Linked DNA regions of Diceros bicornis minor. The protein of the gene in region 1 interacts with the protein of each later gene in a biochemical or structural test. Links are inferred from orthologs where the notes say so. Each region holds a gene or a part of one and is shown on either strand. Other genes may lie near its edges.

Region 1 (7,276 bases):
TTTGTTCGAAAGTCAGGAATGCTGGAAGTCTTAAGTGATAGAACAGGTAGCTCAGCTTGTACTTCACGTCTCTCCTCAGGGGGAGAAAAACACTGTGAATAAAGTAATTTTGTTTTTATTTCTGGAAAAATCATTTTTTCCATCAATCTTCATAATTCTCTAAAATAAACTGTTAAAAAGTTATAGGCCGGTCGACCACTTCACCCTGATTTGTGGAAATACTATACATTAATTTCAGGAACACATGGCTAACTCAAGTTTTCTTACTACTCAAAAGGTCTAAAAGTTGCTCCTAACTCTTTAACAAAACTGTAGGAGAACTTTACAAGCTCATGGTATATTTCTGCATCTCATCTGCAATATTTTTGAACAAAAGAATAGTAAAAGTAGTCTGGGCTCAGGAGTCACACTGCATGCCATCAAATTTATTTTTAGGATACTGTACAATTTTAACTGTGGAAAACTTTTGTGTTGCACAAAATGCTTAAGAACCACATCCACAAAGAAAATGGAAATAAGAAGTTAAGAATTTACCATTTCATTAAGACAGAGAAAGTGACAAATAAATATTCCTCTCTTCTTTGCTAATATTGAATGATAGCCCTCCCCAAATTAGGTTGGACAAAGTATTCACAACTTTGGGAAGGCATAAACTGAAAGGCAGAATTTGTAATTTAAAATATGTGATTCACATTCTAAGCCACCTTAATTAAGATTTAAAAATTCAAGAGATAGTGAACTCAGATAATTAAACAAAGCAGGGGGCAAAAAGAAATACTGAACAGCAAGCAATTCCTAAACCAATCAAATAAAGACAAATCAAATAAGGACCAGAAACCATATAAATCAAATAAAGTCAAGAGAAATGAATAAAGACCACAAACCATTTTCTCCTCGGCACACAGTGTTCCCCAGAATCACAAGCTTGATGAACTGGAGGCACTCACCCTGCTGACGCAGGCACGTACGCACGCAGGAGGGCGCACACAATGGAGAGAGAAGCATGGAGACCCTTAGAGACAAACTTTACATCTGTAACATTCTACCCTCCACATAATGGAAGAGAGAGCACTGCGGGAAATTTTTCGCACTTTCTTCCACATCAGACAGAGCAAAACTGTAGTTATTATTGCAAACTACTAATTCTCTTGATACAATCAAAGTTAGGACTGAATGAATGGAGTGTAGGGCAGGATGGATGAGGGAAAGAGGGAGGGAAGGATGGGGGGTGGCCTTAGAAGCAAGTTTGAAGCGTTTCGTAAAGCTTGAATGGATTAACCTTTTAAAAAGCCCTAATATTTCTCATTTCCTCTTTTCTTCCTCTCTTCTTTATTAAATACACACCGACTTCCTGGGACTCAACACAGACTTGCCCTACATTCAGCGAAAAGGCCTGGTGCTTAGTACACACGGGAATCGTAGGTTTGATATATGTCTGACACAAATGGTCCTTGTTTGGGAAGGTATTTTAAAAATCACTTTTTTTTGTGACCATGCATAAAATGTGACCAATTGCTAAAAAAGGATGAATTCCATGCATCAGTTAGTAAATTGAGGCCCCAATGCACAGCACTTTGATTTCTACTAGAAACATAAGCAGTCTATTTACTACTCTAAACATTTTTTTTCTGAACTTGGAAAAAGTTTGCTTTCACATTTTTCGAAGATAATGAGGGACGGAGGCTTTAGTGTTGCTAGCCTCTGACCTATTCATAAATGGGTTGTTTAGGCTATCTAGCAAAGGAAAAAAATAAAACGTGAATGCTTAAAAGTAGTGTAGACTTGGATAAAATCTAGTAGATAGCTTGAAATGCACGGATTTAAAAACATAGCATAAAAAATGTATGGACATAGCTTATTTCTTCTTTAATAAAATGAAAAATAATGGGGGGCTGGGTAGATCTCGAGTAAGAAGTTGGGTCCCATGCTGTAGTCCCTTGTCCAGGACAAAAAGCTTTCTTTAAGCACACTCAACAGTCATCTTGTGGGAAAGGCAGCGGGAGGGGACTGGGGAGTCATCATCTCGGCGACTCGGACCTAGGACCCTGCATTTCTCACGCCATACTATAGGCTGGGCCATTGGGGGAGCGAGATACAACTTTGCCCTTCAGAAGCAGCACCAAAAGGGGAAAAGAAGTCACCTCGCTCTTCGTTTTACGCACACAGGAAGAGCCCAATTCAATGCCGCCGCCACCGACACCCCCTTGTCTTGCTCCGCCCCAACTTGTGTGTATGGTAGGACAGCACGACTTGCGTTTTACCCCACAAATTCCGAGACGCCTCCATCTCTCCAAAATTAAGTCCTCCCACCTCCAATCCCCAACCGTATCACGCTCAGCAGGCGCAGGTGTCTCGCTCTGGCCTATTTTTATAAGCCCCCCCCCCCCCACATCCCCACCTCATTGCGCGCCCCAGTCCCTCCCTGCCTTCCTCGCGCAGTGCACTACCTAGCCTAAACTCCAAGAAAAACTTAGAGCCCTTTTCCTGGGACACCTGGCCAGAGCACCCGGCCCTGCCTTGAGGGGAGCCCTGGGGCCGCCTCTCGTCGCCGGTGCCCAGCGCGGAGCGCGCACCGGGCTCCCGGGCAGTCACGTGGGCGGCGGGGGAGGCCTGGGCTTCCTCACCTGCATCCCGGGCACTTGGACAGCCACCGGCGAGTGGGCCATGAAGGCGACTGCTGCTCCACACTGCTTCTTCGGCGGTGGCGCCTTGGGCTCGGACTGGCTCCTCCTCCAGGGGTAGCTCCGCGGCCCTCCCAGGCTTTTCGACCGGGGCCTGGAAGGACACACAGAAGTGGGGTTACTGGGCTGGTAGCGCGTAGCCCAGACTGGGAGGTGGGCAGCTCGCGGCGCGGTTCTCTGGGACTCAGTCTACCTTTCTGGCGCCCGCCCGGCGCTGCTGCCGCCGCCGCCGCTGCTGCTCCTCCTCCTGAATGCGGGGCGCTGTGTGTGGCGGTGGCTGGGACCTGGGCTCGAGTGATGCCGCTTGTCTGCGCCTCGCCGCTTTAGGAAGAGGAGGTGGAGGCGCCCCAGCAACCCGCCCGCTCGCCTGGCCCGGGAGGCGGTTGGGGGCGGTTCCGCCGTTGGCCCTGCCCCCGCCCCGCAGCCGGGCGGTGTCAGGAGAGCTAAGGCTCCACGCAGTGAAGGGGTTTGGCTGGAGTTGCTGGAGCCTGCGAAGGGGGACACTCTCCCGGCACACGGAGAGGAGACCCTGAGGACTGCGGGACCTGGAACGCGGCTCGGCCTGGAGAGAGAATGAAAGAGTTTGGTGACCCTGGGGGTATGAGAGCGTCCCAGACGCGGCCACGTTGCAGGCAGGCGTGCGAGGCTGGGGCACACGCAGCCTCGGAGGAGACGTCTTGAACTGAAACTTGGGGAGTGTTGGAAATCTTTCCTGGCTCCCTGATCTGGTCGAGGGTGGGGGCACAGAGAGCCACCGAGTCAGTGGACCCCTGCTCATTCCCGCGGTCCGGTCTCCTCAGCCTGCGGCTGCGCCACTGGGCGGATCCGTAGCCACTCTCCTGTTTTCCGGATTCTTTGCCCCCAGACGTGCTTCAGGTGACTTAAACCTGAGGCTACGGCTACCTCTGGGGCTATCAGTTGGTGGGGGACGGCCAGACTGGGGCTTCTCTTCACCACAAGTTCTGCACGTGTAAGAGAGAGGGAAATTGGAAAACAGATGGTATATCGGCAGAAAAATTAATGAGGATAATAGAGGCATGGGAAATGAGATCGGATCATTAGCAGTCCATATTATTGAACTCAGCATACACAGCAGTGGTTTCGGCAACTCCCAGCCTCCACTCCATTTTAAGTTCCACTCCAGGAGGGAGACAAGCTCATTTGAGAGCACCCTAATAATAACAACGGTAACAACGATAATAATAGTAATTACGGGAATCGCATTATGAAGGTACCTTTGGGAACCTGCAAGGGGTTAATTACGTTTTTAAAATGTAATATCCAAGTGCCAGTTTAAAATGAGGATGAAATTCCCTACCTTGCAGGTTGCTGTAGGTCTGTACCCAACACAGTGTTGGGGCTCTAGTAGATGCTCAATAAATATTTCTCTTATTCCTTTTGAATCTTTCTCAAAAGATAGCATATTACTGTTATCAATATCGTTATTATTAATGGATGCCATTTCCTTTGCCCCAGGGATTGCTAAGTGCTATATGTATGTTATCTTATTGAATCTTTACGAGGGCCCTCTGAGGTCATATTGCTTTTCTCTCATTTTACACAGGAAGAAAATATCACACAATTAAGAAGTGGTAGAGCTGGGAATTCAAACCCAGGTCTTATTTCACTTAGCATAATGCCCTCAAGGTCCATCCATGCTGTCACAAATGGCAGAATTTCCTTTTTTATGGCTGAATAATATTCCATTGTATGTATATACACCACATTTTCATTATCCATTCAGATGATAAAGGATATTATTGCATTTTCCTTATTCCCGATTCCCCAAGTCCAGGCCCTCACTACTTCTAACCTGGTGATAGGCCTCAACCCAGTCTCTATTTTCCACCAGCCCAGCTCACACTTAACAATGCCAGCCTGACCAGAAACCTGCAGTGCCACGCAACTTTAATGTCCATAGTGCAGATTTTGATTTAGCCTTCCTCATTGCTCCAAGCCCTCCTTCAAACTTCTCCTCTTGCACCCACATTGTAGTTTTTTCTTATTTCGTGCATTTCATTTGTTTATTCTGCCCAACAAGATTATTGGGTGCTTGAGGCCAGAGATCCAGCTTTTCTTACATAAGAATTATTCAGGTAGGATGTCAGCTCTCTGAGGGCAAGATTTTTGTCTGTTTTGTTCACTGCTGTATCCTCAGAACCTAGAACAATGTGTGGTACATAATAATCCCTCACTAGCTATTTGTTGAGTGAATGAATGAAGGGATTTCCTTTGAATTCTTCACTGAGGTTAGTATAGTGCTAGCCACACTCTGGGTACACTGTATGTTTTATTGATGCCTGGTTAAACTCCTAGGCACTGCTTTTGCTGAATCTTTAAATTGTTAACTTTATAATATGTTACACCTTTCACTTTTTTTGTCTTCTAAATTCTTTCCAGTTACTTTGATTTCACAACCACCTAAGAGCAAGTTGTGTAATTTTAATAAATAAGTAAATTAAGCATATCTTTGAAGTCACTTTCCCTGGCATCATTCTGGGCCAGAGTTATGAAAGAACGTGGAAGACTGAATGCTAAATTTTGAGACCTGAACTATTGAGACATTTCCTTAAAAATACTGCTTTAAGATCTTAGTAAACTTTTTGACCTTGTTTAGGCCTACTGTTATTAAATAAACTATCTGGTGGTGTTATTATTGATAGAGATCACTTGAGTTTTTACATGGAGTTCCTTGTGGTTTGCGTATGCTTTTTCATATATATATATTTTTCAATTTTAATAAAATGATAAGAAATTCAGATGTGCTTTGGTACTCCCCCTCAACAAGGACACTTGAATATTTTACTTCAAAATGTCAGGCCAGAGTCTAATAATATATTACAACATATTCCCACAGCTTGATGGAAAAAGTTCCTCGAGGGGAGACACCACATCTTCCACTCTTTGGCAGCCCCATAGAATGTAACATAGTGCCTCACATAGGATTTGGTACCTGCTTGATTGATGTGACCTGAGTGGTGATGAATACTTAATAACCATATAGATAAAGTAAGATTGTATACAGATTAAGCGAAGTCAGTGAATTCCAAGTTAGACAGTGTCCTTGATCCCCACCAAACTTAATAATTTAAATTTACAATCTGTGGTTTCAGTTTCCTACATTTGTCATACCCTCAATATTAAATATTTACCTTTATCCGTGTTTATAAATATTTACTGAATGGCCTGGTTCAGAGCTAAAGTGTAAGTAGGCAGAAATGGCTAAATTTTAATGTAGGCAAAAGTGACATAATGTATTAGGGCCATGGTTCTCAACCAGGGTCATTTTTGACTCCTGGAGACATTTTTGGTTGTCACAAATGGGGAGGAGAGGGTGCTACTGGTAATGGGTAGAAGCCAGGGATGCTGCTAACCATACTCCAATGCACAAGACAGCCCTCACAACGAGGGATTACCCAGCCCAAAATGTCAAGGGTGCCAAAGTTTGAGAAACCATGCTCTATACTCTTTGCAATAGAGGTTACTAACCAAAAAACAAACTTGGGAATTACTGTTCCCTGAGGATTTCAGTTCCATGTGATGGCTAGGGCCAAAAAAAAAAAAAACACCAAAAAACCTCACAAGACATTGGGCCACAGCACGGGGGTACTGGAAACAAAACAGTATTTTTATATTACCTTGTATTAAACCATAGATCATCTGCCTCGAAAGAGTGAATACTACCTAATGAAAAATAATATCGATCATAAAATAACTTTAAGAAAAATTTAATGATTTGTCTAAAAAATAATTTAATCATGTAGCATGTTCTAATGTACCAGGCAATACCTAGGAGCCTTCAAATATGTTACTTCATTGAGGTAACTTTGACCTCTTACCCCACTTTACAAAATTTAAAGGTAGGGTTTAACATTTTGGACTTTCACGTTTTGAGCCTAATAACTACATTGAAATGTATAAAGTGTAAAAATGTATGAAGTGTAAGGGCAAATGGATACAATTATCTGAATTTCTTTCAATTCTCTGAATATTTGAAACCAAAGGAAGTTATCTGGGTAATTCTAGAAGCTCACCATCCAGTGATAGGAATATTTTGATTCAAGCTACCAGACTCTGTACTGATATTTGGAAGTACAACATTCAAGAGTCTTTTGTATATACGTATATATATATAAAAGCATATGTGATACCTCAAATCTCTTCTTTACTCTCTTGGTTTCTCTCTTGGAAACCATGATATAATAGTTCTTGCAGATGTTGTATCCTTGCTATTGTTCCAGCAAAGCATCCCAAGGAAAAACCTATGGAATCAATTCTCGGTCAGGGAGCATTAAATCTGTATAATTGCTTAATTCTCCTGAATAACCTTGCACCTTTTGGGGCTTGCACAGTACTCTACCATAGTATCATTTATAACAAAAACTAGTATCTAAGACTCGTCGCAGCTGAATTTTCTTACTAACTTTACTTCCTGACACTACTGAGAGGAATAGAGCAACAGAGGAGGTGGGTCGAAGCAGATGCCGCTTAAGTGGTTTCCTGCTTATAACATTTCTTTACATATACCCTTACTCACTTTGAAATATTTGCGTTTTGGTACCAAAAGAAGCGAGCTCATTACTTCTTGCCTTCAC
Region 2 (7,594 bases), on another chromosome or scaffold:
AGAAGACACTACCTGAAATGAAATTCGGCCCTATATTGGATTTTATTTTTGCATGGTGTTGGGGGGGTGGAGGCGGGGGGGGGGGGCACGATCCGGATGTATGTCTGTATTTTTATGACAGATGGCAAAACTGTGAATGATCAGTGATCAATCCCTCCTGGAAAAAAGGCAGTGATGATAGAAATCTATAACCTACAAAAGTTGATCAAAAGAAAACACTTTAGTAAATATTCAAAAGTAATAAACGATGCTTTGTGGTATACATACTTGCAATATACAAATAAAGATTTAAATAAAACCAAATTATAAAACCAAACCCCATACTTAAACTGGACTTTCTTAGCTATTCTTTTATATTAACTTTATGAAAATTTATACAGTCTAACTCAGCTTCTCACTTTATACGCCATTAGAAAGAGAAACAGAGACCTCATTAATACATTTTAAAATGTAAAGCACCAGGGAAAAAACTGGTTTAAACAAAAACCTGCAATCTGAAATGCTAATGAACTAATAATGAAATGCTAGTGAACTGCTTTGAATCAAAAAACATAAAAGCCCCTTTTGTTATAGCAGCAAATTATTTCATGATAAATTCTATATTTTACTAAAGAAATACCAATAGAAAAACTAAATACATCTAGCCTGAATCTTTGTGATGTCATGATCAAAAAGTGGATGGCCCTAGCATAAAGACTATTTTTTTCGGGGGGGGGGGTGAAAAGGGAAAGTGAGGTGCATTACTGTATGGGAGATTATACCAGCTATGAAAGTAATCTTTTTATAATGCCTTTTTAAAAGTACATCCACTCATATAGCAGAGATGTGAGATCTCTCCCATACCTGATGACAGCACGCACCCCTAGTAATAAAACCTTTCTCTAGTCAACAAGCAATAGGACTCAAATCTTACAAAGAAGTTAATAAATACACTTCAAACAAGAAGCCTTTATAACAAGTTCTGTCCACAGTAGCAGTTATTAAGCATGACTACTGCATTTTATCTGAGGTAAATAATGCAACCTTGTCCAAAAAAAATAATACATTTAAGACTTCCCTTACTTGAGTAAAAATATTTTTATATGAAGACATTTAATGACCAAAAAAGAAAAGCTTAATAAAAGTTTTTTACACATATGCAGTTTATTTCATCATGTAAAGAAAAAAAAGACTGAAAAGGAAACCAACAAACGTTCTAAGCTGCTCCCATAAATCATATACCCTAGACTTCAAATACAGCTGCTAATTATTTGCTACTAATTAGAAAAAATGTACAAAATAAAGCTAAAGACTCACTTCTGGCTCTCCTATAAATATTTTCATAACTAAAAACTCCAAGAAATTTTTACCTTTCTATAAAAGGGTTCTATGTCCAATTTTCAATCTCAGATTAGTAACAATCTGATTTCTTAAAATCATCAATTTAGATTGGTTTACACAAAGGCCATCTCAAAGAAGTTATGTTCAGCTCAGTAATCCTGAAGTGTAGACACCTAATACACAGCGCAAGAAGTTTTGGTGCATTTTAGTGAACTGCACCAACAGAAACGCCTCATGCGCACACGAGCTTATTTTATTCACATCTTTCCATTAACTCTTAAGAGCCTAACATCTAATGAAGCTTTTTGCAAAAGGTACTTTGCTTAGTCTGGACATGGATTTATTTGAATATCCGGGAAGCTGTCAAAATCGATCTCAAAGTGCATTATATTCAAGGCACAGAACGTCAACTCCTTCCTGGGCTCCTCTCTTTTCTTTCACAAGAGCGCCTTTAACATCCCCTAGCTTACATTTCCGGACTCATGAGTCACTCAGAAACGAGCTCTAAGTTTCCCTCAGAATGGCACTCAAACAGCTCCTCTACAGCATTCAAGGATCTGGCCCCCAAATACCTCTTTAGCCCATCCCCACTCCCCCACCACGGCCCTAGGCAACAAACTGAATTATTCACTATTGCTAGACTACGTCTTTTTACCTTTGTCCTCTAGCTTTGCTGCCCCTCCACACATCGTCTCTTCTGCAACCCTCCTCTCCCAAATCCCATGGGGCCTTCAAGACCCTGCTTGGCACCGCCTCGCCCAGGAAGCCTTCCAGATTTCTGCTGGGCGGAAGTGATCGATGGGTCGTGTCTTCCCTGGGTGCCTTCCTAGCACCTTGCAGTTCTTTCACGGGACTTATCACCTCCTTCCTGGTATCGTATTATTTGTGTGCTACTCCTCTTATCTCCCACACCAGAGCGGTAGCTCCTCGGGGGAGGGGACCGCGGGCCCCGCTTCACCTTTGAATCCCTCGGGCGCGGACCGACCGGGGCGCCAGCACGCAGTCGGCGCTCGAGGTGGCTCAACCGAACTCGGGGACGCTCCGGCCGCGCCGTTCCCGACCGGAAATCGGTTAGGCATTTTCCCGAAACGAGGATCACAGAGATGCGATCTGCCTCCCGGGAACAGGAAGTTGCCCCGGGGCCGGGAGCGGGGCGGCCGGGCCTGGGTGCGGTAGGAGTGACAGCTGGCCCGGCCCGCACGTCCCTGCCCTCCCGAAGCCGGCCGGGGACGCCCCCGCGCCGCGCGGAGCCCCGGCCGCAGGCCCCCGGGCGCCGCGCCGGCGAGGGCAGGGGAGGCTGCGGAGGGGCCCGGGCCGCCGGGCAGGGCAGGCCCGAGAAAATGGAGGCACCCCGGGGCCGGTGACGGGCCGGGCAGGGCAGGGCAGGCGGAAGCCGGGCAGCGTCCGCGCCGCGAGCAGGGCCGGGGTCACTCACGGGGCTCGGCCGGGCGGCTCCCTCTCCGCCTCCGCGTCGTCGCCGTCCCCGTCCTCGGCCGCCGCCGCCTCGGGCTGCGCGCTCGGTCCCCGCGGCGCGGCTCGGGCGCTCGGCCCCTCCGTCGTCTTCCGCCCGCTCCTGCTCCGGGCGACGGGCTCCCGCGGCGGCGGCGGCGGCTGCGCGGGCGGACGGCGGCCCAGGGGCTCCCGCGAGGGCCGCCGCACTGCTGCTCGCGCTCGCGCGCTCGGGCTGCGGCTGCGCCTGCTGCTGCGGGGCCCGGCGCCGCCTTAGCCCCCTCGCCTTCCCCGGCTCCTGGACGCTCGGTCTCCCCCAGGCCGCGCCGCTCCCCGCTCGCGGCCCGAGCCCGGCTTTGACGTGCGCACTGCGCAGCCGCCGAGGGCGCGACGTCGGGCGGCGCCGCAACGCCCCCCTCGGCCTCGGGCGCCCCCGGGCGGCCGGGCGGACTCAGCGCCGGAGTCCGCGCCCAGGCCCAAGCGAGAGCGGACGCAGAGAAAAGCAGAAGCCAGGGCGAGAGTTCCTCTTCTGTCATCTGCCTCTTAAATGTCGGTGCTCAGCCCTTTCTCGTCTGTCTAAGCACTCGTCCTGGCGGAATCCCTCGCCCGCTTTCTACGACCACTTCCTCAACTCTTAACAAAGCTTTATTTCTGCTAAAGGCCAGGAGCTGACTTGGTGTAGACGACTGTTTCGTACTTTCGATGGACTTAACTCTCACTTGAGCATCCTCTGTAGCATCCTCTCCTGCGTGGAAAGTGATGGAATGATCCAGATTAATAGGACTCAACAGCCTGGATTTAAGTCCCAGCTCCAGGGGCCGGCCCGTGGCTTAGCGGTTAAGTGAGCGCGCTCCGCTACTGGCGGCCCTGGTTCGGATCCCGGGCGCGCACGGTCGCACCGCACCGCTTGTCTGGCCATGCTGAGGCCGCATCCCACACACAGCAACTAGAAGGATGTGCAACTATGACATACAACTATCTACTGGGGCTTTGGGGAGGAAAACGGAAAAAAAGGAGAAGGATTGGTAATAGATGTTAGCTCAGAGTCGGTCTTCCTCAGCAAAAAAGAGGAGGATAGACATGGATGTTAGCTCAGGGCTGATCTTCCTCACACACTCACAAAAATAACAGCTGAAGAAATAAAACATATGTTATTTAAAAAAATAAATAAATCCCAGCTCCATCATTTAGTATCCATGGCCTATTTCATGTCCCTGTGCCCGGGTTCCTTCACACACACGCAAGTGTAATAATAATAGAGCACCATAGGCTTATGAGAATGAAGGAGATAATGCATTGCAAGGCTCTGACAAGAGACTGGTACATAAAAATGCCATACATGTATATTTTTGTTTCTTTGTTTTTAATTGGTAATTGAACAGGTATTTTCAGTATCCACTGTGTGCCAGGCACTATTCTAGGTGGTGGGGCAGTGAACGAAACTGTCCCTGCTCCTGAGACAACCAACTAAACAAACCAATACACATTATGATACTGGATGGTCTTAAGTGCGATGGAGAAAAACAACACAGGCTAAGGAGGGGAGAGAGTGCAGGGTATCTATTTATAGTCCTCCCACAGGGAGCAGCTACAACAAGAAAGAGCATGCTGAGAGCTGCGTGCGTGGAAAGGCAGAGGGAACAGCAAGGACCAAGCTTTTGAGGTGGGAATGTGCTGTGGAAGCTTGAGGGGCGCAGTGGAGCGCATCAAGGCGAGAGCACTGAGTGAGGGGAGCCGGTAGAGATGGGGTGAGGGGTGTGGGTAGCGTATAGACGAAAGTGAAGACTTTGGTTTTTACTCTGAACGAGATGGGAAGCTATTTGGAGGGTTTTGAGCAGAGAAAGGATGTGGTCTGACATTTCAAAAGGATCACGCTGCTCCTGGTGTGAAGACCAGCCTGAAGGGCCTGAGGGTTTCAGCTGGGAGACCAGTTTGAAGGCTTTTGAAACAATCCTGTCAAGAGAAGACAGGTTTGGTCTAGGGTGGTAGTCGTGGAGGTGTAAAGAAGCGGTCAGGTGCTAGACACATTTCAAAGGTAGAGCTGACAGGATTTTGCTGATTTCTAAGTTTTTTTTTGTTTTTGGGTTTTTTGCCCTAGCAACTGGAAGATACAATTTGGTGAAGTGGGGAAGACAAACAGAAACAGATGTGAAGGGAGGAACTGGGGAATTTATTTGGGGGCATATCAAGTTTGAGCTGCCTGTTAGACACCCAAGTAAGAAGCTGGATCTAGAAGTCTGGGGTTTGAAGGGGAGGTCCAGGCTGAAGAGAGAATTTCGAGAGGCTTCAGAATAGGTAAAATCTCAGGACTCAATGAGATCATTTAAGAGAAAGAGTGTTAATACAGGGCAAGGCCAAGGACGAGGCCGAGGCCCCCGACACTGAGAGGTCAGGGAGATGACAAGGAACCAGCGAAGGATTCTGAGCAGAGGGTGGCAGAAGGAGACCCAGGAGAGCATCGTGTGCTGGGCGACCAGGGATGGAGCATGGATCAGTGCCACGATTGCGGCTGTAATGCAAGGAAGGTTGATGTTGGTGTCAGCACCACAGAGGTAACCAGTGGTGTGGGGAAAAGCTATTTCAGCAGGGATGGGTAGGAAAGCCTGATTGGAGTGATCTCTAGAAAGAATGAGACCTAGAAAGATCTCTAGAAAGGATGGGGCTCTAGAAAGAGACACCACGAGTGTAGACAACTTTTTCTTGAAGTTTTGCTCTACAGGGGAGCACAGAAATGGGATGGTAGCTGGAGGGGAATGTGGGGTCAAAGCTGATTTTTTTGTTTTATTTCGTTTTGTTTTGCTTTTAGGATGGGAGCTATTACAGCCGGCTTAAGTGCTGATGGGAATGATTCAGTAGTGAGAGAAAATTTGATGATGCAGGTGGGGGGGCATTTTCTGGGGAGCTGTCCTTGAGTGAGCAAGAAAAGGTTGCCGCGCACAGCGGAAGGGCTGGCCTTGGATACCAGCAAGGCGGCGTCCACTCACAGTAATAGAGGGCAGGCAGAGTGTAGGCACAGAGGCAGGCAGCCAGCTGGACAAGGCGCTGGCACATGTGGATGTTCCCTTCTGAAGGCTTCTGTTTTCTCAGGGAAATAGAAAGCAAGGTCATCAGCTCCTCGTGTGGAGGGTGGGGAGGTGTCAGAAGTTTGAGGGGAGAGGAGATGTGAAGAAGGACCAGTCAGAGGGGTTATTCTGTGTTTTTCTGTTGGCCACGTTTTGCTGGGAAGGTGCAGGCACAGGAAGGTGGGGAGTTGGATGCAACCAGGGTTATTTCTGCTAGATAACTCCATGGAGAGAGAAAGGGGAAAGGAAGGCGAGGGTTATATACAGGAAGTAATAATAATAATGACCAACTGTTGAGTCCAAGCCAGTAAGGAGGGAGTGAGAAAATGCAGATGAGTATGGGGGCAGTAGGAGGGGAGACACCCTGTAAAAGTGATAGGATCAATGGAATGAAACGTGTGTGAAAGGATTGTTAGAATCAGCACCGTAGGGAGAATGAGCTGGAAAGGAGGAGGTGCTAGCTGAGAGCCGGGTTGCTTACACTGAGATTACGGAAGGAGCAGTGTACAGTAATGACAAGATCTGGGGCGTCTTCTCAAACGGTAATGTCCATATGCGTTACCAGGGGTCTTGTTGAAATGCAGATGTCGATTCCATTGGTTCAGGGGAGGGCCCATGATTCTGCATTTCTAACAAGTTGGGAGTCGGATGGGATGCTGATAATTCTTATTCTTGTTACGGCCATGATACCAAAGCCTCAATAAATACAACACACACAAAAAGAAAGCTAGACTAATCTTGCTAGAGAATATATATGAAAAACCTAAATAAAAAGTATGAAATAGAAGTAAAATAACAGCGTGTTAAAAGTGAAGTCCATCCCAATCAAGGACAATTTATCTCAGGCAGAAGCCATTAGAAAAACATAGCTGTCTAGGGACTGTTTCGGCTCGGAGGGAAATCAGCTGAAAAATCCCTAGCAGGCTGGTTCGTGGAGCTTCTCTTCGCTTCTCTCTAGAAACTGTGGAAGGGAGGGAGGTGCACCACCCTCTCCAGTGAGCCGACTGCAAGTTTTATCTAATTTGAAACTTTGTTCAATAAGACTTCACTCCCACGGCTTTTTTTTTTTTTTTAATTGTAGTCCCAAGGGGAGGCCTTTATTGGGCTGATATTCCACAAAAACAAGTCAGGACCTAATTTCTCACAGAATAAAAGAACGCGTGGAAGTGGATAATCCTATATGCAGGAGTTTGAGTCCTTTGCTTTAAGGGTCAGAGCAGGATTCCAGGTTAATCTCTTCACTGGGATAAGCCCACTACAGTTGAGAATTGTGGCAGCCAATTTCTGGAGAGGGATTTGTAACAAATTCCGAAGCCAAAGTGGAAGGAGCCATGTCATTTGCCCGCTTGAATTTACACTGGGAAGACACCTTCTCAATCCTTCCACTGAGCTCTCTGGAAAGCCCTTTCTATTAATATATTTCTTTGTAGGTACAACCTCTTTCTGGGAAATTCCACCACCTCTTCATCTTGAAACCCTCTCCAGAGGCCCCTCACTCTCCTGTGCAGTGTCTGCAGAGCTCAGGTTCATAAGGCAGGGTCGTTATTATCCTGGAGTCAGTGTTGATCCTGTCAATCCTGTAACTCTTCCCTCACTTTCATTTCCTTTCCTCTCCTCCGATGAAGCTGGGCCCTCAGTGAAGGCACCTCCCTGCCTTAATCACACCATCTATGAAAGGACTTTGGAGCCTGACTCATGGCTTCCTTGCTTACCCCACCCCGTATCTGACGTCTCCTGGGCAACGCAGATGCCACTCATCCAAT

The links. The genes of interacting proteins can lie anywhere in the genome.
Region 2: the proteins of STK26 (region 1) and CAB39 are reported together in a solved structure, tested with the Homo sapiens proteins (2 studies listed by IntAct, with this or other methods). The link is inferred for Diceros bicornis minor from reciprocal best matches to the Homo sapiens genes STK26 and CAB39.

Annotation. Positions count from the first base shown.
Region 1 is NC_080781.1:120,366,649-120,373,924, reverse strand, and holds the start of STK26 (serine/threonine-protein kinase 26), read right to left. Parts: upstream 3,014-7,276; 5' UTR 2,875-3,013; intron 2,776-2,874; 5' UTR 2,667-2,775; coding exon 2,625-2,666; intron 1-2,624. UniProt on the Homo sapiens protein: Serine/threonine-protein kinase that acts as a mediator of cell growth. Modulates apoptosis. In association with STK24 negatively regulates Golgi reorientation in polarized cell migration upon RHO activation.
Region 2 is NC_080776.1:19,251,020-19,258,613, reverse strand, and holds the start of CAB39 (calcium-binding protein 39), read right to left. Parts: upstream 3,006-7,594; 5' UTR 2,756-3,005; intron 1-2,755. UniProt on the Homo sapiens protein: Component of a complex that binds and activates STK11/LKB1. In the complex, required to stabilize the interaction between CAB39/MO25 (CAB39/MO25alpha or CAB39L/MO25beta) and STK11/LKB1.